4 linked regions of the Astyanax mexicanus genome follow. The protein of the gene in region 1 purifies or fractionates together with the protein of each later gene. This does not show direct contact. Links are inferred from orthologs where the notes say so. Each region holds a gene or a part of one and is shown on either strand. Other genes may lie near its edges. The genes, in order: tsen15, tsen2, clp1 and tsen54.

Region 1 (6,882 bases):
TGCTTCCGGAACACGTCCAGGTTGTGGACGTTGCAATTTATAGCTCATAAAATGAAGTTCATGATTTGCGATTGTTTCAGAACATCATTTAGGTGGATCTCAAATCGTAGATGCTGTTGGGAAAACACTGAAAGGTCATGAAGTCCCGCAGTGTGTAGAGAAAACCAAACACCGTGTGAACACACAGATCACCTCAGCATTATCACGGCTACAGGATGACATGCAGAACGTGCTGCAGAGACTGAACACACTAGAAGCTCTGACTGCAGCTCAGGTGAGTCAGAAAAGCTTTGCATCTTTAGATCAATAATCTTTAATATTCATGTTTATGTGGTTTTTATAATAGTGTTACATTCTACTAGTCTTTATTTCATTTTACACTTAAAAAATGATAAAGACTAATATTACTATTTCATACTATTTTCTCAGTGTTCAAGACCAATATTTGGAAAATTAAAACGATAGAAAACTACAGTATATCTATACATTATAAGATCTGGTCATAAAGTTGATATTTCTTGCCATCAGATATTATCACAATCTATATTTTTGTTACAGAGGCATCAAACCAATTCTTCAGATTTTTCACAGTGTGATTTCGATGTTTAATTTTTAACCAAAAGAAATTCAGGTTAACCTGCTGTACTGTATTTTCTTCTCAGGATGAAGCTTTTCCTCCTGAACAAGACCCTCATTCAGCTTCAGTAAAAAAGGTAGGCTTACAATACAGCTGTCAAATATACAATAGTACATTTAATTATATTAATAAAATCACTAAAGAGAATCATAAAGATGTTTAATTGGTTTGTTTTAGTTGGTTCTAAACTGTATGTTTGTAAGTTAGATAATTAAAGTTATAAATGTATTTAACATTTAAAAGTTTTTGAAGTTTAGATATGTAAGGTTTATATATTTATTAGGGCTGTCAACGTTAAACAATGAATCAGTAAAAGAATCACTAAAGAATCAGAAACACGTTTTCATTTTTGTTATGCAATTAATCATACCACCAAGTTTAACCCCAATTTCGCTGTAATCTGCCCCAGCCAACACAGCTATCAAATACACTTCTTTTTAATTGAGCTAAACTGCTGATAAGGTGCAGTTTAATCTGATATATTAGCCAGATAACATACTGCTATGAACAAACACTGTCTCTGCTGCTCCATACTGTTTACACACTAAGAGCGCAGTCTGTGCAGCGTTCACTGCTCACAGCCACACCACTCTGTTTACAACATGTCGAAATTTTAGATGTTTTCCAGTTAGTTGTCTGAGGTTTATATGTTGGGAAATTGGACATTAAATGTATTTGTGTTTAAGATGTAGATGTTTTATTCTTGGTGTTTGTAGAGTAGAGGTTTGTTTAGGTTTAGAAGTTTGATAGATAGATGTTTGAAGTTTAGGTAAATATAACACATCAATTCTTAGATTCTTAGAAACTATATTTTAAATTAATTATATAATCTTTTCTCTTTAATCTGCGTAATTTGCCAGCGATTTCCCTGGTGGCCTCAGGACACGTCTCCTGTAACTGTAGCTCTGGCTCTTATCTGGCCTTTTGCTGTGAACTGGCTGGTGCAGATTTATCTTCAGAGGAAGAGGAGGTCAGTATTTCATCAGTATTTAATCAGCAGTGATTAAAGCTCTTATTTTGTGTTTGAGGTTCAGTGATGTTCTGCTCACCCAGGCTGTATTTCTGGTTTTCAGGAGGATAAAATGAAGACGATGCTGTGAACGTATCCGAATTCAGGTGGAGCCCTCAGTGACAATCAGCCTCTTTCTACAGTATTTATAATATTACAGTGTAAAAATGTATTAAAGATACATATACAGATTAGCATAAATAAGTTAAAAATAACAATAATTCTCATTTTAATAAAGTGGCTAAGAACTAGAGTTCGTTTAAAGAACAAAGCTTGGTTCAGTTCCATCACCTGTATACTGATAAACCCTAAAACACTGATTTATTAAACCAAGTGTTGGTTTAGTGAGTGGAGGATAACCACAGCGAATACACTCATGAGTTGAGTTTTGGAGATGTTATATATGTTATATATATTATAAAACAAATGTATATATGGATTAATTGTATTATATTCTATTATAAATAAACACTCACTGCCCAGATAAGAATCTTATAATATTTTATTATAAGCAGTAAAGTTTATTCTTTGTACATTTATTAATATGTTTATTTATGTTATGTATTATTAAGTGCAGATGATATATTGTGTTTAAAATCTGCATAGTTAGAAATATATCTAAATTTATTTCTAAGCACTTTATTTATGTTGCAGTAAAATTACTTTATCCTGAATAAATATTTGTGAGGTTTTTTTTTTGGTAATGAAATAAATATTTGGTGCAATTAAACTTCACACCTTGCATTGTTTTTTTTTTCTACATTTTTGACCTGTTAAGGAAAACATTGTTGACATGTCTCTCCAAACCATCACAGACCATCAGTAAATTTTAAACCAGAGTCAGGAGGAAGAGTGGAGAGGCTCAGCTTGCGGATTTCATTTTCCAGCAGGATTTGGCACACTGCCCACACTGCCAAAAGTACCAGTTGGTCTTATATAATATTCTAATTTTCTGAAATACTGATTTAAAAATACTGAATAAAAGAAATAAACGCTTAAAATAGATCAATCTGTGTGTAATACATCTATATAATATTTGAGTTTCACATTTTGAACTGAATTACTGAAATAAAGTAATTAGTACATACCAATATAAATCCGTGTATCATTCGTTCATTTGATATTCAATTGAGAATCAAAATCGGAAAATTAAAAAACCAATTCGTTTTTTCGTTTTTTCGTTTTTGAATATAATACCAAAAAACGAATAACGGCTTGTATTTTGTATTTTTATTTGGTTATCCAAACAAAAATTGGAAATTTAAAAAACGGACCAGGAGCCGAATTTGATTTTGATTTTGAACTTGACCCATTTGTGTGCCCCGGAAGTTACTGATTTGTTTATTCTTGGTGGGTTTCTGTTGCGCGGGAGTTCACTGCAGTGTTATCTACACAGTCTGTATTGCTGTAGGCTTTGGATTGAGTTGAGGATGGAGAGTTTTATCTTGTTCATAGGAACTAAACGCGTTGCAGTGAAAGAAGACGATATGACAACAGAAAAAATCGGCAGGATCTTTCAGGTGTTTGTCTAACGTTCCGTAGCTAAATGTCATATTTAGTTAATGTTATTCTGTGAATTGCCGCCTACTAAATATGACATTTAGCTACGGAACGTTAGACAAACACCTGAAAGATCCTGCCGATTTTTTCTGTTGTCATATCGTCTTCTTTCACTGCAACGCGTTTAGTTCCTCTGAACAAGATAAAACTCTCCATCCTCAACGGCCCTCTCCAATTCTGTGTTCGATACATGTCTTTTTCGCTTAAGGTCGTGTTGAACACAGAACCTTCTAACACTCATTGCAGAACATCGCTGGATCCCCATTTGCTGCAACGTGCACGAAATCTCTTCATGCGTCTTACCACCTTCAAAAAGATCTTTAATTAGGCCAGAATGTGGTTCCAGTCCGGCCATGCTGCCTACAGCAATACAGACTGTGTAGATAACACTGCAGTGAACTCCCGCGCAACAGAAACCCACCAAGAATAAACAAATCAGTAACTTCCGGGGCACACAAATGGGTCAAGTTCAAAATCAAAATCAAATTCGGCTCCTGGTCCGTTTTTTAAATTTCCAATTTTTGTTTGGATAACCAAATAAAAATACAAAATACAAGCCGTTATTCGTTTTTTGGTATTATATTCAAAAACGAAAAAACGAAAAAACGAATTGGTTTTTTAATTTTCCGATTTTGATTCTCAATTGAATATCAAATGAACGAATGATACACGGATTAATATACATTGTTTGAGCGATTGATTTCCTTTAATGCGGAACCTCTTGTTCAACAGCGTGTTTTTTTTTCCGGTAGGGTTTGGGAGAAGCGCAACAACAGCACGTTGGGGCGCGTTCCATATGTGGTTTAAAGAGTCTAGATAGTGCGCACTTAACATTTTAGAAGCCCGTGTTTTCCAGTGGCGAAGTGGCAAGTGTTACATGTTGGCGTTACCGGGTGCACTCCAGTCTGCTTTCAAGTAGCTAGATAACTTTAGTTTATCGTTTAGATATTCAGCTTTATGTATTAATTACCGGTTCGGTAATTAATACACAACAGTAGTTAGTCTACTTAAACGCAGGTACGCGATTTGGGACGCGCCCTCGTTCTGAATGGGAGCATGGAGGAAGAAAGCAGAGCGGCTGATTCGAGCTGGATTAAACAGCACCCAGCAGTGAGTTTCGGTGTTTTTAACCTAGTTAAGTATCTTTTCTAGCTATATTATATTGTTTCTGTATTTTTAGAGACGTTTAGTTACTTTAAGCTGCCTGTTCTTCATTCCAACCAATATACAGTAGTATAAAAAGGTTTGGGCACCCCTGATAATTTTCATGATTTTTCTTTATAAATCTTTGTTTTTTGGATCAGCAACAAAATTATGAGTTTTTTGATTTTATCAAATTGAAAACCTCTGGAATATAATCAAGAGGAAGATGGATGCTCACAAGCCATCAAACCACCAAACTGAACTGCTTGAATTTTTGCACCAGGAGTAAAGCAGCATAAAGTTATCCAAAAGCAGTGTGTAAGACTGGTGGAGGAGAACACGATGCCAAGATGCATGAAAATATGAAAACTGTGATTAAAAAACAGGGTTATTCCACCAAATATTGATTTCTGAACTCTTAACCTTTATAAATATGAACTTGTTTCCTTTGCATTATTTCAGCCATTTCTCATTTTCTGCAAATAAATGTTCTAAATGACATTTTTTTTTTCATGCAGTTTACATTACACTGATTAAATTGTAGGACCTCCAAAAACATCTTTGAGTCTTTATTCAATGACATGATTTGAGTATCTATGGTCTAAAATGTGCTTATTCTCTTTAGTACCAAGACCTGATGAATCTGGATGTTGGTGACAGCGCTCAGGTCTATGCAGCATTCCTGGTTTATCTGGACTTAACAGAAGGTAAGAGAAAACTCTAGTGTTCTCCAGTACTGTGACGATATGTTCAGTGCATGTTGGATGTTAATCAGGATGTCTTGTCATGGCTGAACTCTGTTGCAGTTCGTCGCTGGAAGGACGTGGTGGGAGTCGCGAGCTCTGAGCTGCAGGCGGTTCTGCTGGAAGGCCGTGAGAAGGAAGGTGAACCGGTACAGGTGGTTTATCCACTTCCCTCACACAGAACCGTCAGCCACAAAGAGTAAGTGGACAAGGTTTGCGTCACTACTGTAATACTTTTCAAGGGTCTAAAGCAAGAGATTGCTGGGTTGAATCTTGGTCATGCAGCTTACGGCCATCAGCTGCTGGAGCCCTGAGAGAGCACAGTTGGTCTTGCTCTGGGTGGGAACAGTAGATGGCGCTCTCTCCTCTAATCACGCTGAGGGTGATGTGGATTAGCACAATGCTGCGTCTGTGAGCTGATGTATCAGAACCGATTCGCTTTCCAGGGATTCTGGTTTCCTATCCAGAGTTTGTTTGTCTGTATCTATTTTTTTCATGTGAGCAGACATTATTATCAAGGCATTTCTCTGCCTACACCATGTATGACTCTATATATTGTATGTGGCACATTTTGATTAAATCTGTTCTCAGTTTGAGGTGTATCCTGGACCGAGGAAGCCCAATGCTGTTGTGTGCAGTGGCCTCAGACTCCACCCTGGTGTACCAGCGGCTGTGTGACGGCCTGCTAACCCCGGACCCTCCGGTGGACATTCAGGACCAGGGCCGGAGACAGCACCGCAAGAGAAGACTCCAAACATGACCATTACATGACCATGTAATGGACATAACATTGTGGAAGATTCTGACTGAAGTTGAGGGGCAGTGTTCAGCCCACTGTCTCAGATTTAGCTTTTTATAATTTATCTGATGGCTGTATTTGAAGGCAGCTTTTCATTGGTGGGCAATAAGGCTGCATGATGGGGTCAGAATATACTCACCTTTCTGTAATGACAGTATTATAAAAAAGATCAAAAGTGCTTGCACGGTTAAGAAGTGTGCAGTTCTCTTTGACCTTTATTATTTTTCATAATATTAATGGCTCCTATCCAGATGGGGTGTGGCACAGGTACCTTCAGTGGCTTGTGGTTGTAAATACAATCCTCACTCTAGTCTCTGAAGGAGTTTAGTGTTTCTTTGTGTGTGTCCTCCTAGGTTAGGTGAACTGGGCGTGCTATAGCCTGTGTAATGGGATAACATTTGACAGACATTTCCTTTGGACAGTCCTACATTTTGGACTCAAAATAAACAATAAATTATATATACACTAGTGCATCTCAAAAAAATTAAATATAATTGAAAAGTTACTTTGTTTCAGTAATTCAGTTCAAAATGTGAAACTCATATAGCGTTATAATTGTTTGTTTATTTTATTGTTGATGATTATGGCTTAGAACCAATGAAAACCCCAAAAATCAGTGTTTTAGAAAAGTAGAATATTCTATTAGACCAATTGGTACTTTTAGCAGTGTGGGCAGTGTGCCAAATCCTGCTGGAAAATGAAATCTGCATCTTCATAAAAGTTGTCAGCTCTGATTTTGAACTTGATATAACACAGTGGATCAACACCAGCAGATGACATGTCTTTTTAAACCAAAATTGATTACTCTTTGTGTAATACATCTATATAATATTTCAAATTACGTTTCACATTTTGAACTGAATTGCTAAAATAAAGTAAATATAAACTTTTCAATGATAGTCTTAATTTTTTAGATGCACTAGTATATATCATATATAAAAGACATAAGGCTCCATTCATCAATATCTTCCCAAGACAAATTTTAATCAGA
Region 2 (7,105 bases), on another chromosome or scaffold:
CCCATTTTACACTCTATATAAGCCATACCATTAAAACCAGTCTTACAGAATACAAGGCGCGTGGTTTTAATGTTATGGCTGATTAGTGTAAATGAAGATTTGTATATGATGCTGTTTACATGCAGTTGTTAAGTATATCTATTATAAGAGATGTAGAATATAAAGTAAATTACTTAGAAAGTGAATTGCACAGAAAGTGATGTTGTTAGTAGATGTACTGTACTCTTTGTCTCTGCGGTTGCTGATTTGACTGAGCTGAACTATAGAACTGGTAGCTCTGAGTTCCGTTCTTTAGTTTTGCAGGAAATGCACTTTTTTCATAAAAATACAGCATTATAAATAGACTGATGTTTAGAAGCCTCTACTTTTGTATCTACTTTGTCCATAACTGATTGTAACAAACCACAGTGGTTTCACACTAAACTGAACATGCTTATAAAAGAGACCACAGAAATAAATGTAGTATCAAACATCTGACGAGTATGTTCATGAGAACTGCTAATTACCTGCAGCATTTTTAGTTCTCTCATAGTCTTCTCATAGTTTTGAGCTTATAAGGCCTCTTTCAATAACTATATTATTAACTTGTTATCCAATCCAAACATTTTACCTTAATAATTTTTGATCTCAATATTGGACATTCTTGTTTTTCTTGAAAAAAAAGAGCCTAGTAATGTGAATGAGTTGGTGTGTTGATTTTGTGTAAAAACAGTTATTGTATTTATGTTTAAATTATTTATTTATAGTATATTTCGATATAAATGGTCCTAATAATTAAAGTATCTTGCTCTTTAAATGGGTGTAATTATATTAATCTAATGTCTGGAAGTTTTTGTTGACATACCTGTGGTTTGTTATTAGGGCTGCGCGAAATGGCTACAAAAAATAGCCATTGTGAAATAAAGGCATCATGCAATTCTTTTAATTACAATGTTTCTACAACACAATTTGCTAAACATTTGGCACAAGAAACCACACAAACACAGATGTGAAATATTATTATTATAATTTTATATACCATTTAATATATATATATATATATATATATATATATATATATATATATATATATATATATATATATATATATATATATATATAATATAAAGAATAATCAGACACTATTTGTTCTATATGTAAAAAAATAGTGTCTGATTATTCTTTGATATATATATATATATATATATATATATATATATATATATATATATATATATATATATATATCAAAGAATAATCAGACACTATTTTTTTTACATATAGAAATGTTAAATATTCAAAATAAATAAAACACAAATAAAATAAAAACACTCATTCAGGTTTATGGGTTCTTCTTACTAACAGAACACAATTGGAAATTATGAGGAAATTATTCTTTAAGTAATATTATTACATATCTCCCATTTATTTAAGTTAGGTTGTTTTTTATATATATATATATGTTTTTTATACATTTATATATATAAACATATTATGTATTCTACTGTAAAATCCCATATAAAAACTATATGCTATATAAACACATACCTATTCTATGATGCATGTGTACTTTGCATACATTTTTAAATTTTTAACAAGTAAAGATAGAAAAGGGTGTACATTCCTCACAGTGAGAACTTTTTTGTGGTGGACAAATCATCAACCATGAACTGCATGCAAGCTGAATAAGCCAGTTTAACTCTCCCAGCCAGTCTCATTTTCCACCCACATTCAGTTCTGAGAACCCTTTTTTTAGCTTTTGTTGTCTACAAGAACTCTGTCCTCTCAGGTGCAACCAGTGAAGAATCAGGTCACCGATTGCTCAAATGGTATCATGTTTTTTGGCTTTGTAAAAGTTCACCAACACTGGCTGGATTTCACTGTGTCATCTGCGTTCATGGCCAAATTCGTCATTTGGCTGCTGATCAAACTAAAATTAACTGTAGTTAACTTTTGCTATTTATTTTTATGATGGTCATTTATAAAGCTGTGAAATAGATATTATATCAGAAGTAGATTTTTACATTTACGTTCATTCTTTCTTATATAAATGACAATCATATTGTTTTTAAAATATATTTTCTTTGCCTATACTCCGCTTTAGGAAGGTGCAAATGTATCTTATCACCTTAGCAGCAAATATAAGCCAACCATTCTAGAATTATGCATCTACATATTTTGTCTCTTTTTGACTTATTCTCAGACACATTAACGTTCCTTTAACTGTGCTGTATTTAATATACAAGCTGGCAGGATGCCTAACATGATGCCTACCTCAAGGCCCATTTATTCAATGGGCAACATGCTGGTTAAGATTACCCCCTAGTGGCTGATCTAAAATGTGAAATATTTTAAGAGCTCAAAGCAGCACACTGATTACCATCAAAATCCAATTTTAGCTAAGCAACAGTGACATCTATCAATTTAATTGAGCGGATGAAAAAGTAGACTTCATACGGATACACTGGAGCAGTAGTATAAGTTTTAGCGTCTTAAAAAACACTCGAAAAGTACAAATTCATCAATATTTTACTGGAAGAAGGTGCCTGAAACTAGGAACCAACTCTGACAAAGAGTGATAGTATGAACCCAGTGAAAACCAGAAATGCTTGACAGTTTCTTGGAATCAGAGATTTTTATGTCAGGGTTTTTTCTTTGTATTTTAGGGGACACACCTCAGACTTTCAACTTGTCTGAAATCACAGCATGGTTTGATTTAGTGGGGAATCTGCTAAGTTCAATGGATTATACTGTACATATACAGCAGGAATGTTTGAGCCTTAAACATTTATTAGCAATATTTTATTCTATTATATTCTATTAAATTAATTTATTCTATTAAATACATATTTAACTTTGTATTTACACACAATAATATTGTTTTATATTTTTGGAAGTATTCATTAATATATCCAGGATCTAATGCCAATAAAGAAGCTGTTAAATTATTTGTTTAAATTATAGGGACATGGGTACTGATATTCTAGCTTTTGGTAGTATCATGAATGGAATAACCAGTCAACTGTCCTTCTAGCATTCTGGCTGTTGTCCTATTTTATTTGTAATTAAATGTAGAAACACCCTTATAAACAAACAAATAGTTAGCAAAATCTTATATGTTATATGAATATTATATAACTGTATAAAACTGTCATATATCGGTGTGCTCTGACTTTGGTGGATTGGCATTTTAACATTCACTGCTTCTTTGCATCTCAGCAGAGGAAACTGTCCTGCTTAGTAACATTGTGAAAGTGTGCAAGCAGGTAATTTACGGAAATGTTATTTTATTTGCTAATTGTTAATGGAAAAGTTGGGTTTGTGAGTGCTGCATGTTTTGTGTGTGTGTATGTGGAGCGGGGGTGTATGCACATTAAGCGTGCATTGTGCCTGAGTTGCCAAGATAACAATGCACATCTGACAGTTAACTGTTGTTAGGGTTCTTGTCAGTCAGTGATGCACCTGTTTTTTTTATTGTCAAGATAGCAATACCTGAACACACCTGACTTCCAGACTGCCATGCCCATCTGTGTAGATATATTTGTAAGCGTCTTTGCTTCTTAAAAAATGCAAACACAAGGCGTGAAAATAGACTGTTGATGGAGTGGAAGATAGCAATAAGCATTGCAACACGCTTTGCACAGGGTGTAAGATAGAGTCCAATGTTAAGCTAAGCTAAAGATGTTGCCATGTGGATCAGCCCGACATCTTCCTGTAGCAGTTTTCTCCAGTTTCTGAAGGTCTTTTGAATGTGTATGAAACAGTACTCACCGCTTTCTTTCGTAATCTGTAGCTATTTTCTTTAAAGAAAAGACTTTTAATAGTTACAGGGTTCTCTGTGTTGCTGTGTCTTTTTGTAGTTTCTATGATGAAAGTGTAAATGTGCAGTGTGTAAATGCTGCAGTAGAGAGTGCAGAAACACAATTTGTTCCAATAATGCTTGACTAAAGACTACAGGCTAAACAATTTCCATAGCTTTTTCCTTTTTACATTATACATTTTTTTATTTAATACAATTTTTTCTTTAAAAGGCCTGATAGTTTACTGCTAACTTTTCTAGGTTACTATTTTATGTATTTCACGTCACCTGAACATCTTAAATGGCAAAAACAAACAGAAATAAAACAACTGCTTCAAAACGGACAGGAACCAAATACTAGTAGCTGTGAACTCGGTGGACGTGTTTCACTGTGGCACCGGAACTGCAGGTTAGTTAGCATAGCACAGCGTAAGCTAAATACATGAATGGAACTAAATGTGTGGATTTAAAGTTTTGTTTTTTATATTTCTGTGAGAAATCTGTATAAAATGTTCACAATGATTTCAAAGAATTGTCATTTTCACTCACCCCAGTATCTGTTTTTGCCGTTTATCCAACTTGCTAACCGCTCGTTCAGGGAAAGCTAACGTCAGTTACAGCAGATGATCAGCGTGCTAAGCTAACTGCCTGTCTGTCTCCAGGGTTACCAACCAGCTAGCGTAGCAGCGTCTCTAATCTTGTTTTTCTGAGGCGTTAAGCCATTGTTTACTAGAATTTAGGGTGTTTCTTCTTACTTTAGAAATCACTTAATATCTACAAAAATCTGTATTGACATCTTAATGTTTCTTCTGAGCTTTGTTTGTATTGATTTTCTGCAGTTAGAGCCTAAAGTTACTCTTCTGGGAAGATTTATCTGATGATTTGCTAAAATACATCTCCACCAGAGCATCAGTTAGAACAGGTAGATAGCTAACTAGGGGTGAGCGATATGGCTCTAACATAATATCACGGTATATCATGGTATTTTCACGATAGTGATTCTCTTGGCGATATGAAAAAAAAAACTGAATAAAAAAATTCAAGAATATACTACTGCAACAAAATGAAAATTAAGTATTATTATTGCCTATGATATGATATGGCACACCATTAACTGAGATATTACAAAATACAATTTTATCAGATTTGTAGCAGAAGTCAATGATCCAGAATGTCATGATACTAATAATACACTTCAAATATCTGTATATATCCAGTATTAAAGTAAAATTAATAATACTGGACAAACACAATCTGTCTGTAGTAGAAAGATCATGGGAAAGGGGCAAAAAAAAAACTTGGGGGGCCCCCCTCTACAACCAGCCCTGCTAAGGAGTAAGAACTTGGGACAGGGTTGCAAAAATGAGGTCTAGAAAAATATATATTTCTTTTTATTAGTGAAATGTTTACAGAATAAGTCTTTTTGACCACACCAGCACTTTGTAATCCTACAGTTCTTATATGTTCTCTTTATATACATTTCAGCAGATATGGAAGCGGTGTTCCAGGCTCCAAAACGGAGACCAAAAGTTTACGAATCATTTGAGAGCCCACTGCCCGTTCCTTTTACCTCAGTCCAAGGCACTTCCTCACTTCAGGGGGCCCTCATATGCAAAGCCGAGATCATAAACCAGCACGTTATAGTACGAGAAGCTGACCACATTCAATCACTGTATGGAAAGGTAAGTTTTAACAATATGTACCCTTTTTATTGTTGCTGTTTATTCAAGCAAACCTTTGGATGTTCAGCTTTTTAGGTTTTAGTAAAGTATACTAAATTTAATTTTAATGTTTTAAATAGAGCATTATGCCGACCTTACACCTAACGATTTTTAAGCGATTTCTCTCTCGCAGACAGATTTCCAGAGTCGGGATAAAATCACTAGAGTCTGGCTAGAGTCGGGCTACAGTCGAGTCGCGGTCGCATCATTCGGATCGTTTAGTATAAGGTGGTTATGACTGAAAGTTTTAGTCAGTCAGGTTTGCGTCCTGGCGCTCAGATAAAATCAACCGTGTTTAATATTATCTCAAGTCTTGAGACTCAGCTCACGCAAATAGTGACGTGAACAATGTCAGCAACCAATAGGAGAGGGAGCTACGGGAAGAGGCAAGAATATATTTCACGTAACTGTTCACATACAAACTATTTAAAAAAGAACAGATTTGGCAGTTAATATGCCTTATATGGTTCTTACTTTAATATGTATAATTTTTTAAACACAGGTTGCACTTTAAAGTTATTATATTTGTAGTTATTTTATTTTGCACTACTCTGTCTTATTGTGCTGTGTTATTTTTAATAAATACACATTTTGCAAGAATGATGTCCTTATTGCAATAATTCTATTTAAAACAAAGGCAAATGTATAGCAGCAAAGCTTTGATTATTTGCTGTACACAAATGTAGCAAAAAGGGGGGAAAAGAAGTTTATAATCAGAGCTGAACACAAAATGTATTCTATTAAGTAATATCAAGAACAAACAGTGTGGCAGAAAAAATTAACTGTTGATGGGGACACATTTTGTGAGTCTCTGATAAATCGCATTATTGACTGTAATTTAATTATTTGTAATTTAATATGTAATATGTATTGTATGTAAACTCCACCTGAAGCATGATGGTAAATAATCTCAGAAAGAATATAGTTGTAGTCTTGCAGTTAGTGATCCTCAGTCTTTGCAAAATCTTAGCCTGTGACTATTCTGTGAGTAAAAAGTCTGTGACAAGTCTTTAGATGTGAGAGGGTGTCAGACTTCAGTCTTTTCAGAGTCTTTTCAAAGTCATGTAGTGTATGGACAGCTTTAGTTGTATTTAGATTTTTTACTTCATATTTTATAAATTTTTTTCTAGGGTTATTTTGGTAAAGGAGTTCTGTCAAAAAGCAGACCAGAGCACAGTATTTCAGAACGGTGGGAATGTGAGTATTGATTTGAATTTGTATTTCGCTAATTTCATCTTTACATGTTTACAATGAAAATGTTGTAAGTTTTAACTGGCAATTAAAATACAATACACTAAAAAACACATTATTTTCTTCTGTTTATATCTAGACATAGGCAATGAATGTTTACCTGTTATCCCCTTGTCAAGGTAAGTAGTTGGCACTTCATAATTGTGATTGTTTTGCTGTCTGTAAATTATAAATATCTTCAAGGCAGCAATTATGAAAAATAATAAAAAATAATTAAAAATGAAAATTTGTTATTCTGCCTTCTACCAGATTATTTCACAATACTTTTTTGTTGATAGATGTTAGGAAGGAAAAATAGGTATTATGTATTATCTAACAGATGCATATTATATTATGTCTGCCCAATATAATTAAA
Region 3 (7,446 bases), on another chromosome or scaffold:
ATGGCTAAAAATTACAAACAGTAAATACTCACTTGGCCGTGATGTTCTTTGGATTCTTAAAAATAAAATGTAATACATTACCAAAATAAATTAAGAAAACTACCTACATTTTTGTGAATTTGTCTACAGCAAACGGGTTTACGCAGTAAAGGCGCTATAGCATCCCTGCTACCGTGAGCTGTCTGGCTGGTGAGCAGATGCTAAAGTTACAGCCAGAGCATGTTTAATAGGTTTATAACTGTAGTTTAAACGCTTTTTAAATTATGTCTGCGGTGCTGAAACAATTGTTGAAAAAAAAGAGCAAAATATTAAGTATGAAAATATATATACATATGATGATATATGATATATGGCATACATTCTGCACAATTACTCCGTTTGAACCCATTCATTTTGGGCTCACTCCGTAGCGCCCCCTGGTGGTCACACTAACCCAGAGGAGATGCTGAAGTGAGTATTCTCTCTATAAAAGCTCCCATCGGCTCAGTAAAGGAAAGATTCATTTTGGTGAATCGGATCATTTGTTTTTAGTACATGGTTTAGTGTTATTAGGCTCGATTGACTCGTTTACAGGAGTCGTTTAAGGACAGCAGATTCTTCCACAGTTCGCGCCAAAAACAGTTACAGCGGCGTCCTAAAATGCCTCCTCGCGCTAAAGCAGGTTAGTGATTTATTTTACAGTTAAATAAATGTCAGGGTTTATAACCGTGCAACATAGTAGATATTTATGTGAGTAGCCGAGGAGCTGTAGAGCAGTTGTCTAGTGTTAGTTAGCTTGTGTAACGTAGCTAAAGAGTGAGCAGCACGACCTGCACAGATTCATTAGATAACCTGGATTTTATAAGTCTGGCTGAACACCTTCAGTAATACAGCGGGTAGACAGGTTAGCTAGTTATCCAGCTAACATAGATGTTATGAAGGTGTGCACATTACGTTGGCCATGTTTTAGCCACTCCTGGGTCAGGATACGTGGTTTTCTTACCTTTAAACCTGTTTTAACCTTACAGCGATGCAGTGCTCAGAAGCGTTAGGCGATGTTAACTAACTTAACTAGTTAAACTAGCTAATATACTTAACCCAGCTTATATATGTATACGTATAATACTTCTCCTCTGAAAGCCACAAAGACTTTAGTGAGGTCAGGTTCTAATAGTGGAAGGTGGTAGTATGGTTAACTAGTGTTTTTATACCCACGTGAGAAAATGTTATAAGAGTGTTGATCGCCCCCTATGGTATGAAATGGTATGAAAAAATTTGGCACCCCTGATTTTCATTTATAAATCATTGGTTGTTTGGATCAGCAAATTTATTTGTGTAAAAAGGAATAATCCAGAATACCTTAAACCAGAAGCCAGACTCTCAATGGAAGCTATAGAAAGCTTTAGAGGTTGTTATTTCTGCAAAACGGGAATCTACTATATATTGATGTATTTATTTCTGGTATTTTTTATGCACTTTTCTAATTTGGTTTAATTATTTGGTATAATTATTGTACACTTTCTTCAAATTCTATTAACCTTATTTGATTTATTTTAACCTTATTTTTATTTATATTTTACTGAAACTGCTGGTCTGAACAATCAATGATTTATACAGGAAAATAATTAAAATGATCTGTTCCAGATTCTTTTTTTTTTTTAAGATGTATTTTAAGAGACGAGACAAGCTGTGGGTGCAATCTAAAGGAACTAAATACATTCAGTACTAGGGGTGTCAACAAACATTTGGGACTTATAGTATCCTTACCCACAAAACAAGAAAAACAGCCCCTCAGTACTCAGTAGTTAATTTCTGGTTATCTGTTCAATCCATATTGAACTAAATAGTCTCCAATATGTGTGTGTAGGTCGTGGGGCAAAGCGCAAGGTGGATGCTGTTGTGGAGTCGGAGCCAGAGGCAAAGAAGGATAAAACAACAGATGCCGAACAGGACGAAGGCCAAAGAGTGGTCATCGAACACTGGTCAGAATCAGTCTCTCTCTCTCTCTCTCTCTCTCTCTCTCTCTCTCTCTCTCTTTCAATGATTGTTAACAGGGTTAACCCAGATTTTGGTTGTATTAGTTTGTTACACAGTTGATATTAAATAAAAAAATGCATGTATAATTTTTTATAATTAATTAAATTATATTTAATAATATTTGGGAGGTGTGTAATGTATAGAGCTCTCTCTCAAAAGGCTTGTGTTCACATAATGGCTGCAATGTGTTTTTGCCTCTTAGTAAAAGCTGACGAGTGTATGGTCGGAATGCCGACATGGTCCGTGAGGCTCTCCTGGCTGTACATCCCGAGCTGCGTGTGGTGCTCAACCCCCAGAAGCCTCGTCGAAACAGCTTTGAGGTCACCCTAATGGAAGGAGACAAAGGTTATGGTGCAGCTATGCAGAATATAATGATGTCTAAAGTGCTGGTTTACTTTTATGCAGAGTTTAACTGGTCATGGCTAGGTGAGACCGGGATTCCAAAGGCAGGGTTAACAAACAATGCACTAGAATAGTTACACTGCAAACATGCTAAAACAGACCAAAAATTAAAGTCTCCAGTGCAAACGGCATTCCTTAGTCCCTCACAGTCTTGCCTTTTGGTATTGGATGGAGCCTTATCATTCTAGAGGACACAGTTCCACCGCCCCACAGCTTAGTGCCTGGGGTATTTATACTCCTCTATTGAGCCGCTGACCTTGTGCACTGTGCCAGTAGGTTTGTTTGTGTTTTAGAGAGTAATTTTCTATTCTATTGGCAGTATTTCTTTATAGGGACTATACATTTTTTGTGTGTTTATTTGCACATCTGTGTCAGCAATGAGTGAACTATTTTTTTGTTTGTTGCAGAGGTGGTCCTCTGGACTGGCATCAAGAAGGGTCCTCCCCGTAAACTAAAATTTCCAGATCCTGCTGAGGTTGTGACTGTGCTTGGCGATGCCCTGAAGAGCAACTAGAGATTAGTGAGGAGATGGGTATGTTGGAATATCATAAAAGTTAGCTTTTAGGTTTATTACATGCATGCACTTTCTGAAATGTTTATTTAAAAATGTGGAATATTTTTTAAGGAAGTTTTTTTAAAAAGCTTAGCAAATGTTTAATGTTTGATTTACCCTCATTTTCAGTCAATCATCTTTGGTTCTATGTATGCATAATGATGAGGATGGACCAAATGGACGACTTCCAGTCTGTTCTCTGATGTTTTTTGGCAACTAGACCCTGGATGATTGCAGCCTCCTTGTGATCTCTTGCTTAACCTCTTAACTCCAATTCTTGTTATTTAGATCTTGTGATCTATTCTCTCACTTTTTCTGTTTTTCTGTGTGGTTTTCTGTATGTTATGTCATCTAATAAAGTAGGATTTTTCAATATAGCAGGATACATTGGACCAACACTGGAAATTGTTCAGTGGGAATATACAATCCTTTTTAATGGTTTTGCGGTTTGGCCTCGCGTGCATGGCTAACTGAGTGATTCTGCTTTTGTAAAAAATAAAACCAGTCTGGATCTGTAGAGTTGAGGTTACAGATGTCTTGCCTTCTAACTGAACTGTTTTAGTCTGTTTTCTGTTCTCATTAAAAAAATAATAATAATAAAGCTTCTATATTTGTACTTGGTTTGTCTCCTTTCATGACCCATGTATGTTCCTTACAAGATATAAACATATCTAAAGATAATGTTCTTACATAATTTAATTTGCAGTAAATAATAATGCTGTTTTGTATCATTAAATGTAGTTAGAGATAAAATGTAGTTCCTAAAGCTGTAAATACTTTTGAAGATACAAATATTTTGTGTAACTAAGTATATAAAACAGGCCTGCGATTGTTTAGATGTCTGTACATTTTAATTGTTTATCATTTTTGAGGAATTAATAGAGGAGAGGAGAATACAATTCTCCACTTACTTTTTAACCCGTGTAAACTGAAGGAAAACTGGATTAGAAATGATTGAGAATTTGTTGTTTTATTATTCACACTCCATGGCATAATTAGATTTTATGGGAGTAAATATGTAATTTTTTGAAAGATTGGGAGACCCTATGGGAGTATGAAACTTATTGTTTGAATCAGATATTTTAGAGCAGGCACCCAAAACATGCTGGAGTATTCTATCTGCAAAAACACTTTAAGTAAGTATACACGCGTATAGTAAGAATATAAACGGCCTAAAATATTTCTTTACATATTCTTGCAATTTGCTGCATAAATATGCATACATTCTTGCATATTTATTACATAATTTTGTTTGTGACCCACTTGTAAGCCTTATTGTAGTGGACGTAAATATGCCTTCTTACATTAGAGAAAAAGAAAATAAACACATCGATATGTTAAAAATAAAGTATAATATGGTTAAAAAAACAAAAGTGGTTGTTTTCTGAGGGAAACAGTGTGTTATAGTGGGTGAAGAGTTTGTAAAGGAAAAAAGGGTCCTTTAAATCAGGAGCCTCGTGCGGGTGATGTCTGACGGCATCACCACGCGCCCGAGTTGCCTGGCGCTGGTGGGCTGTTTGAAGACCCCTGGACTTGTTTGGAGATTTTACTGGACAGTAAGGAGGAAATACAGCCTGAACTTTTTATTTTATATTTAAACACTTTTAGACCACATGCTTTTATATTTCAGGGAGGAGTTTAAACTCAGCCGCTGGATAAAGAGGATAAATCAGGCGGGCGGTGTATTGTTAGTTTGCTGCTGGGGCTCGGAGCTAAGCTAGCTAAAGGCTAAGATCGCTAACGAGTGAAACGCCTGTTCTATAAAACATTCATTAAGTTATATCACCTTTACACACAAACCTTAGAGAAGATTAAATCTGCAGTTTAATATTATCTGATCTTCCTCAGACGCAGGTGCTTAATAATATTAGCTAGTTAGCTTTCTAACAAACTTTAATATTACTATTTAACGTACACTTCGAGCTAGGTTAAGTTACCTAGATGCTATGTTTATGCTAGGTGGTTGCTGTGATGGGCCTGAGTGGTTACTAAAGTTTCTAGTAGTTGAAATTGAGATGTTGTTAAGTAAGCAGTCGCTACGATATGTCAGGTGTTTGTGATGGTATCCCTGGTACTTGCTGTGGTATTACAAGAGTGAATTCGTTTGGGATTGCTATGTTTATTCAAAGGGGTTGCTCTAGTCGTGCAGTGTTACCCCAGGGGTTGTTAGGCAGTTGCTAAAGTACCCCAAATGGTTGTTGTGGCACCCCATGTGGTGGGTTGGGTGAAAAAACGCAGTTTGGGACACCAAGCATGTCTTGGCCAAAGACTATATTGAGTAAATTTGCTTTTTTTGGCAAACTACTGCAGTGGTGCTTGAAAGTTTTTAAAAGAATTTTACAATTATACATATGATCTAAAACATCATCATCATCATCATCATCAGATTGTTAGACAAGTGCAACTTGTGTGCTTATTGAGATTCGGTTCATTTAATACTTAATTCCTTACCTGGAATCCTTGTTCATGGTTGTCTTGATAGTGGACGCAGAAACATTAATACTAGCCAATATGAGAGAGGCCTTCAGTTGCTTAGAGGTTACCCTGGGGTCCTTTGTGGCCCCGCTGACTATTACAAGCCTTGCTCTTGAAGTGATCTTTGTTAATTAACCACTCCTGAAGAGGGTAACAATTACTGAATTACCTTCATTTGTACACAATCTGTCAAAACTCTTTTTCTGAGGTCCTCAGAAATCCTTCACACATTCCACAAAAATGTGTTGGGAACACTTTGATAGATCCCTGTTCTTGAAATTGAACTGAGTGCCATTCTGATTGTCATTCTATTGATTAAAAACACTTGACTCTAATTTCCTCCATATTCATGCATTCAGTAAAAAAAATATGTATGGTCGGATAGTGTGCATTTTTGGAAAAAGCCGTGGATGGTTTATTTTCCATCACCTCTTTCCTTGCAGACATGAGTACAGAGGTCTCTGAAAAACCTGGTGAGGAAGGAGGGAGTACTGGAGGAGGCACTGGGATTGTAGGGACACGTTATGACTTAGAGAAGGAGACTGAGCTGCGCTTTGAAGTGGAGTCTGGAGAGCGGGTCCAGCTAGAACTCCTGACTGGCATGGGCGAAGTGTTCGGCTCTGAACTGAACAGAAATAAGAGGTACACGTTCGGCCCAGGCTCTAAGATCGCTGTGTTCACCTGGCAGGGCTGCAGCCTCTCACTCTCAGGAAAAACAGAGGTAAGGATCATGAGTACTGCACACCCGTTACTGACACTGACAACTTTAAATGCCAATTTCAGTTTGACACAGGATTATGACTTTGTGTCAAACTTGTTATCACTGTTGTGATGTTAAATAACCAAAATGCAACATTAGCCAAACATCAAATTTGTCATAGTTTCTGAATATGTGACTTTGATTTTCAAATAAATTAAGTGATTTTACAGTGTTTGGTTTTATGTTACTATCTGTGTGTGCCTACAGAGCTGTATTCTTTCTTGTGGTAAGCCTAGGGACATGTGTGAATCAGAACTGCAGAAGAGGGGGTTGTATACACTCCATAAATTTGACATAGAGTGTATTGGGACTGTTTTTGATCATTTAGGGACTGTAAGTTCTGAAGTTTGTAGAGTATCTTATATGCTTTGTTCCTACATGAATTGTTCATTATGTCAGCTCCACTGACCATTCAGAAAGTGGTGTTATTGTTATGTTTAATCGGTGTAGTGATATCCTTATTACATTTTTATGAATAGTTACCCCACCATACTGAACCTTATAGTAGTCTCATTCTTTTTGAATATCACTGTCCTGTGAAGCAGCAACCCATATTTTACACACCCCATTTTGCAAATTAAGGCAGTAGTTACTTTAAACAGGTGGGGTTATTGTAGTTGGATCCAAAATTGGAATTTGGAAGGTATCTCTCCAAGCAGCAGGGTTGAAGACCACTTACTTAAGCAATAGAGCCATGAAGAGGATAATCAAGCATAGAGAAAGGAAGTTCTCTGGAAATTTGTTTAAAATAAAATTATTAAAATTAGTAATATGTCTTTTTGTCTGTAGGTGGCATATATCTCTAAAGACACACCAATGTTGTTGTATCTGAACACACACGCTGCACTGGAGCAAATGAGACGACAAGCTGAGAGAGACAATGAGCGGGGTCCAAGGGTATGTCACTCCATTCACACATTTACAGCTCCAATCACAAAGCAGGTAGACTGGCCTAAATCTGATCTTTCTAGACAGACAAGACATATTTCTTAAATGTGAGCCAAGATGACTGGCAAACAACACACTGTATCTGGCATTTTCAGTTGCAGTTAAGGCAACTTTTAATATGGTGCATATCCAATACACAGTAATGCAACTCTGAACAGCCAGATAAGAATTTAGCTTGAATTTAATTAAAAATACACGCTGAGCAGAGGACAAAATGGATTGCTAGTAGCCCAGATATTGCATTCAGGTATTCCTATGCAGCAGAATACCTAATTTGTTTAGACTAACGTTG
Region 4 (6,909 bases), on another chromosome or scaffold:
GTAACATGTGGCAGAAAAAAACACAATGCTTCATTTTCAGGAATTTATAATAGTAATTTCACCTAATATTTGAGGTGAAGCTCAAGCTGTTCACTGTATTTAAACTTATTTTAGAGAATCAAGGTCATAATTGTAATTCTAGGTCAACCACATTGTTATTAAATAGCAATTCCTAAAAAATGTAAATTGCTGCCATTTAGGGGGGCATACCATGACACGGTGAATGCATGAATGAAGTGAAATAAAAGTGAAAATAAAGTCATTAAGCTGGGAAAGAATATTTATCTGCAGTCTTATAAATATAATAAATTGTCAAAAGAATGTCAAATGTTTAAATCATTTTTTTAAAGTTATAAGACCCAATTACCAATATTCGGATAATGATCCACCAAAGTACAACTGTATTATTACCTAACAGTTTTTTTCCCCTGTCTTCTGTTTAATGTTTTTTTTTACGAAGGAAAAACAGACACAAGTCTCAGCTTTTGGGGTAAAAACTCAAAAGGTGGTGAAGTAAAGCCAGAACATGTTGCATTTTTGGTGCATGGGTGGCCTCACTGTCAGCTTGAGGCGTTTGTTTCTATGGTGATGAGGAGGTCTTGGGAAGCTATCTGGCTTACTGGAAATGTGGCTGCATTGTTGACTTTCTGTCAGGAGGTGGGGGGTGGCGGGGGAGCCGTGGAAGGAGTGACTGCTCCCTTCCTTGTGGTGTGTGTCCATGTTTTGGTTTGTGAGGTACTCTTTCATTTGATATGCATCCCTCACCTCTGGGGTCAGTTGGTCTTGTTTTGTGGCCAAACAAAGGAGAGCCTGAGCACAGTGGCCACACACGTCACCGTCCACTGTCCACCTGACACCCCTAATAACACCTTACAGAACACTTCATCAATTGCCTTGAAGTGCAGTCAAAAGCTTTTAAAACAAAGGCCATTTACACATTCACATGGTGCTTACTGGATGTGTAATGGGCTCTGGTGTCATCTTCCACTTTGGTGTCTCTCAGAAACCAACAATGTAAATAGATGAGACAGTGACAGCAATGGTCCACCCAGTTTGAACATACTCAACTAGTATTATTAAGTTCAGCACCACCTTTTTTAAATTTTTAGTGGTACATTAGGCGTTTCTAAACCTCAAGCGTTAGCCTTCAGATTTAAGGTGTGTTCTACAGCCTCCTGATGTAAAATATCAATTGTTCAGATTTTACACACAGTATAAAGTTATAGTACAGTACAGTAAACATATCCAAAATGATAATGATGAACAGAGTATTATGGGTGGGTCACATTAAATGTTTCTCTGTTCTCAACTTGGGAAACTTGCTTGCTTCATCTGACTTCATAAAATATTTTAGAAAAGGATATTTCTTGCAGAGAAAATTAAATTTATTCCTACATCAAACTGATGGCAGACAACAAACAGCATCTGTTGTGGGTAATGAACTGTACAAAGGTAAAAACTCCATAATAGACTGCCGGGCTTTGTTGCCTACAGGGCTGTCAAGGTTACATTAGCGTACACGATTCATTTGGATGGATTAATGAGTAATTATTTTGTTAACGAAAATTAATTACGCCATCAAGTTTGACCCTAATTTCAACTGTAATCTGCCCCGCCCAATGCGCAGATATTTTTTCTAGAGTGGTTTGCTTGTGGTGAGAACGATCTGGTAACGATCTGGTAACGATCAGACCCATCTGAGCTATCAAATATATTACTTTATAACTGAGCTAAACTGGCTCAGTTTAATCTGATATATTAGTCAGAAAATACACTGCTATGAACAAATGCTGTCTCTGCATCTCCATGCTCTTTACACGCTAAACCTGCAGTCTAGAGATGGAACAATCGATCGGCTGTGTATCGGCAGTGTTCTCAAGTCTCATGCTTTGAGCGTGTGACACACGCACCTCAGCGAGTTTACACGCTCACACGCCACACATGGTATTTCTCACGCTTGCCAATCCATCAGCTGTAAATTATAATGTACTCTCGTTGAGCCAATTAGAATATAGATCGCTCTGTTGTTAGGCAGACCTAGTCAAAGAGGGTGGAGTTTCAGCCAGAGTGTCAGGCGAAGAACTGTCCTATTCAAAAGTTCTGAAACACGCGTTGGTGAGCAACAACGCCCCCACCCCCCACTTCAGATATGTGGTTTATTTGTTAGGAAAGGGGCTACGTGAAAATGTACATACATCTTCACCTATTGGAGCTGACGTGTCTGCATGGCCGTAGCCATATTGGAGGAGGCAACCCTGCGCCCCGAGTGCATTAATTTACACTGAGGAAGGAGTAAAATACACCAATAATAATCACAACTCTACCATTTTCACACGGTTTGGTTTGTTTCAAACAGCAGAGATGTAGTTATGATACAGGAAGCTGTCACACATTACAAATACCTGCTTTCATGCTGAAATACTTTATATTATGCTCTTTAACAAAGACAGATATATGGTATAGCATATTAATAAGGTTTATAAATTAATTATATATATATATATATATATATATATATATATATATATATATATATATATATATATTGACGTATATACACATAAATACACACAATACACATATACACACACAATATATATGTATATTTATATTTAAAATTGCATGTTATCTGTCTTCACTCTCTTAACTATAAACTTTACCATGCAATTCAAATATTAAAATCCTTGAGTTTTTTTTGTCATTGTTGTGTGACTCCAAATATGTTTATGAATGAATTCACTTATATAAAATATATACACATAAATACACACAACACGCAGCAGCTAACAACAGCAGGATTAACGGAGTTAGTTAGCTCACAAGCTAACAACAGCAGGAATAACGGCGTTAGTTAGCTCACAAGCTAACAACAGCAGGAATAACGGCGTTAGTTAGCTCACAAGCTAACAGCAGCAGCTAACAACAGCAGGAATAACGGCGTTAGTTAGCTCACAAGCTAACAGCAGCAGCTAACAACAGCAGGAATAACGGTGTTAGTTAGCTCACAAGCTAACAGCAGCAGGAATAACAGCGTTAGTTAGCTCACAAGCTAACAGCAGCAGCTAACAACAGCAGGAATAACGGCGTTAGTTAGCTCACAAGCTAACAGCAGCAGCTAACAACAGCAGGATTAACAGGGTTAGTTAGCTCACAAGCTAACAGCAGCAGCTAACAACAGCAGAATTAACAGGGTTAGTTAGCTCACAAGCTAACAGCAGCAGCTAACAACAGTAGGATTAACAGATTTCTAAAACATATTCGCTCATTCCAAGTATTTGGAAATTTAGTTAAAAGCTCTGGTTTATTGCTGTAATGTTAATTACTAAAAATGCTAAGTTTAAATCAGGTCAGCGCTTGTTATAACAGGTTATGTGGGCAGACAGAGTCAGGCTAAATTTTTAGCCCATTCTAAGCTCTAGCTGGAGTGTTAGATTACTGTTGCTCCTATTAAAATAATATATTATTAGTTATATATTAACAGTAAATATGAGCTATTTTAAGAAGTATGCTGACTCTGGTGATTGGCATATAAAAATATAAATTGTTGTCTTATAAATATTTACACAAACTTATATCTCTCCTGAAAAGTGTTTATTTTGGTCAGTAAAACTCTTCTGTTTATTTATTATCAGAGTAAATTACCAGTGTTATCTTGGGCGTGGATGTAATTAGGGGAATATGTACCATGTTTGCCTCGAGATGAAAGATGATCAGCGATCGAAATTGGCACCAAAAACACTGATCTCTAATGCAGCGTTCACTGTCAAAAGTATGGACACACCTCTTCCCATTCAGTATGTTTTATGTTTTGTATAATATTTTATATTTTATATTCAGCACAGTACCATGCTGCCCCTAGAGGAGCAGTTGCTGCACTACACCCCTAACCCTTCCGGCACTAGGACCCAGCGCTCACAGACCAGCTGTAAACATGGCCACGAAACAAGCTCACGCGGAAGCTGCACGCGCGGAACGCAGTGAGGAGTTATTAAGGTAAACGCGAGGGATTACAGCTTTCTGAGATTCCGATAGGTATCCGCTCTGTCCCGTTAGTTGGTTAGTCTAAATTCAGAGTTTGTAGCCACACATTAGCAGGGCTAGTGCTGTAGACTTGTGTCTGTGGAGCATGTGTGGGCTGAGCTGCCGTCTGAGCGCTAACAGCAAACTTTCTGATGCGTCTGAACAATAAAACATGCTGCCTACTGAGGCCGGATCCTGAGAACAGGCACACCGACATGCCTGAGTCCAACATTCCCACTCCAGCCCTGTGTAAATGCTAACAGCTAATGAGAACACAGATAAACACTGATACAGCACTGGAAAAAAATTGAGACTAACGTTACTTCCGTTTCTGTGAGTTTGCTATTTAAATATGTTTAAGTAAAGTGAACATTGCTGTTTTATTCTATAAACTACGGACAGCATTTCTCCCAAATTCCAAATAGAAATATTTTCATTTAGAGCATTTATTTACAGAAAATGAGAAATAGCTGAAATAACAGAAAGATGCCGAGCTTTCAGACCTCAAATAATGCAAAGAAAACAAGTTCATATTTATAGTTAGGGTTAGGGTTATTTATAGTTAGAGTTCATAAATTAATATTTGGTGGAATAACTGATTTTAAAACACTGTTTTAATGCATCTTGGCATGTTCTCCTCCAACAGTCTTACACACTGCTTTTAGATATCTTTATGTCTTGGTGCAAAAATTCAAGCAGTTCAGCTTGGTTTGATGGCTTGTGATCATCCATCTTCTTCTTGATTATATTCCAGAGGTTTTCAATTTGGTAAAATCTAAGAAACTCATCATTTTTAAGTGATTGTTTTTTACAGAACTGTATCTAACAGTGAATTGTCAGAACAGCAACAAGGAATCAAGTCAGCATTTCATGCGTTTCAGACACATCTAGCACAGCTGATTCCACAACTAACTGACCCAACCTAGCTAACACAGCTAGAAGATCCGCTCAGTATAAGACACGTTGTCACACCTTCTTCTGGCCGGTGTAGTGATCTATAAAAGCAATATATGGAGCAGGTTTCATATCCATCCAGCACACTGTAACTCAGAGGAATTTCCCTAGATATGACACGTTTGTATCTCTAATGATTTAACGTTGTGTTTTTATTGTTTTGCTTTATTTAAATTACTAATATTAAATATTTATATATTACTTGTATTCAGATGAGCTCAGTAAGGATAGTTCATTGTCCTCTGTTAACATCACTGTTGAATACAACCTAATTACAACAAGCTAAACTGCTATTTCTGCTGCATCCAGACTTGTAACATTACCTGACTATTACAGATATTATCTTATTTACAGCACAAAATTTTACACCTGTGAACACTTCTAAAACTAGGCTTTAAAACCCACTTCTTCCGATTTCAGCAAAAAAAAAAAACAAATCAGCACAGCCTGACTTTTCTAACAGTAAAGATAAGCTGCTGTAATCAGTGAAACTTGTGCTTATAGCACTGCAGCCTGAACAGTTTATAAAATATCTGCATACATGTGGATGGCTTGAACAAATACTATGTCTTTGAGAACTATTTCTTGAACAAAAACTGCTTTCAGACCCAAAATATTCTCAAATATGGTAAAGCAGGTATCTTAGAATCAACAGTTTATTCATAATTAATTTGGTGTAATAACTTTCTGCTAGAGAGTTTGTAGAGTACTACATTTTTCTCCCAATTACCCAAGCATTTACTGATATATTACACTATAGACATGGCTAATTCAAAACATTGCTTATATGTAATGTTAGCTAGGTATTTTAGGAGATGGAACGTCATCCCTCATTAGCACAGCATTGTGAGAGAAAGTGAATTATAATAGTAATAATAATAATAATAATAATAATAAGTATTATAATGATTAGTTCATCATACTCCTAAAAGCATTGTGAGAGTAGAAGAGCCCCAACCCTTCAAATGCCTTTAAATGAATGTCAGGCCAATATCAGAATTTTAAAATCAACCAACAATGCCTGTGAGGCGGTGTTAAACAAAGGTTCTTTACCATCACCAACATGTAGTGCAACCTAAATTATAAATTCTATACAATGTTCTTTTCCATCAGGTTTCTGAGGAACTAGTTTGTGAATGACTGGAAGTTGTTGTACAGGAAGATCCTGTCTTAATGTTTTGCAGGCAGCTTGTTTAGCTACAGTATTTCTTCTCCTCTTCACATATTTCTTCAGTATGTTCTGCCTTTTTCTGTCTTTTTACCCAAAGCCCATCAGAGCTGTTTCATGCTCGGTCACGAAGTCATAAGATTCCTGTGAGAGGGCAGAAGGAGTTCTTGCCCACTGGCTCTGAGCAGCAGAAGACACACCTTCAGAAGAGTCTTCAGGAGCACTGGACTCTGGTGGCAGAGGAACGTGTGGAGAGACTGTGAGTCACTGCCAAACCCAATTATCAACAACAACATTTCTAAGGAAGTGTTTCTCAGAACTACATTGCTTTGGCCCTCGGTACATATGTGTTAGGTGATTCTGTAAATACCTTTGTTCAGAGGCTTCTTCCTACAGTCAGTTACCTTTTCCTTCTTTTTGACACATTTGTGTTTAAATAAAGAGCCTTTGCACCAGAGAGAGAGAGAGAGCACAATTCTTTTACCAGAGGTATCCCTGTTGGTGGCCAGTAGGTGGAGCCCTTTTCCCTTTTTTAATTCAACTTTGATGCGCTCGACCGGGGTGCTCATTCCTGGTGGTCTACCATCCTGAAGATTTCAGATCTTACACACCTCAGTCTAGAATCTACACATGTCCCTGCAAAGCTTTGTTAGACTGTTACGTAGGTGTGACCAACAGGCTACAGGGAAGGAGTCTTCATGGTACAGTCGTACAAAGAACCTGTGCTACCTAAACTGCAGACTAGGACCCTAGAATCTCTATATCAA

What was found.
Region 2: the proteins of tsen15 (region 1) and tsen2 purify together in Homo sapiens (affinity purification with mass spectrometry; 4 studies listed by BioGRID and IntAct, counting the BioPlex papers as one, with this or other methods). This does not show direct contact. The link is inferred for Astyanax mexicanus from reciprocal best matches to the Homo sapiens genes TSEN15 and TSEN2.
Region 3: the proteins of tsen15 (region 1) and clp1 purify together in Homo sapiens (affinity purification with mass spectrometry; 4 studies listed by BioGRID and IntAct, counting the BioPlex papers as one, with this or other methods). This does not show direct contact. The link is inferred for Astyanax mexicanus from reciprocal best matches to the Homo sapiens genes TSEN15 and CLP1.
Region 4: the proteins of tsen15 (region 1) and tsen54 purify together in Homo sapiens (affinity purification with mass spectrometry; 4 studies listed by BioGRID and IntAct, counting the BioPlex papers as one, with this or other methods). This does not show direct contact. The link is inferred for Astyanax mexicanus from reciprocal best matches to the Homo sapiens genes TSEN15 and TSEN54.

Annotation. Positions count from the first base shown.
Region 1 is NC_064415.1:56,947,666-56,954,547, reverse strand, and holds the start of tsen15 (tRNA-splicing endonuclease subunit Sen15), read left to right. Parts: upstream 1-3,870; 5' UTR 3,871-4,262; coding exon 4,263-4,316; intron 4,317-4,974; coding exon 4,975-5,056; intron 5,057-5,155; coding exon 5,156-5,291; intron 5,292-5,683; coding exon 5,684-5,852; 3' UTR 5,853-6,882. Other genes in the region: acbd5b (acyl-CoA-binding domain-containing protein 5-B), read left to right, coding at 81-274, 663-713, 1,498-1,607, 1,711-1,723. UniProt on the Homo sapiens protein: Non-catalytic subunit of the tRNA-splicing endonuclease complex, a complex responsible for identification and cleavage of the splice sites in pre-tRNA. It cleaves pre-tRNA at the 5' and 3' splice sites to release the intron.
Region 2 is NC_064431.1:12,867,883-12,874,987, reverse strand, and holds the start of tsen2 (tRNA-splicing endonuclease subunit Sen2), read left to right. Parts: upstream 1-4,084; 5' UTR 4,085-4,187; intron 4,188-4,412; exon of another isoform or gene 4,413-4,700; intron 4,701-4,732; exon of another isoform or gene 4,733-5,145; intron 5,146-5,263; 5' UTR 5,264-5,268; coding exon 5,269-5,460; intron 5,461-6,629; coding exon 6,630-6,696; intron 6,697-6,829; coding exon 6,830-6,869; intron 6,870-7,105.
Region 3 is NC_064417.1:23,193,441-23,200,886, reverse strand, and holds the start of clp1 (polyribonucleotide 5'-hydroxyl-kinase Clp1), read left to right. Parts: upstream 1-4,421; 5' UTR 4,422-4,527; intron 4,528-5,889; 5' UTR 5,890-5,891; coding exon 5,892-6,167; intron 6,168-6,196; exon of another isoform or gene 6,197-6,387; coding exon of another isoform or gene 6,388-6,432; intron 6,433-6,995; coding exon 6,996-7,103; intron 7,104-7,446. UniProt on the Homo sapiens protein: Polynucleotide kinase that can phosphorylate the 5'-hydroxyl groups of double-stranded RNA (dsRNA), single-stranded RNA (ssRNA), double-stranded DNA (dsDNA) and double-stranded DNA:RNA hybrids. dsRNA is phosphorylated more efficiently than dsDNA, and the RNA component of a DNA:RNA hybrid is phosphorylated more efficiently than the DNA component.
Region 4 is NC_064426.1:11,616,735-11,623,643, forward strand, and holds the start of tsen54 (tRNA-splicing endonuclease subunit Sen54), read left to right. Parts: upstream 1-3,884; 5' UTR 3,885-3,931; coding exon 3,932-3,993; intron 3,994-6,242; coding exon 6,243-6,401; intron 6,402-6,909.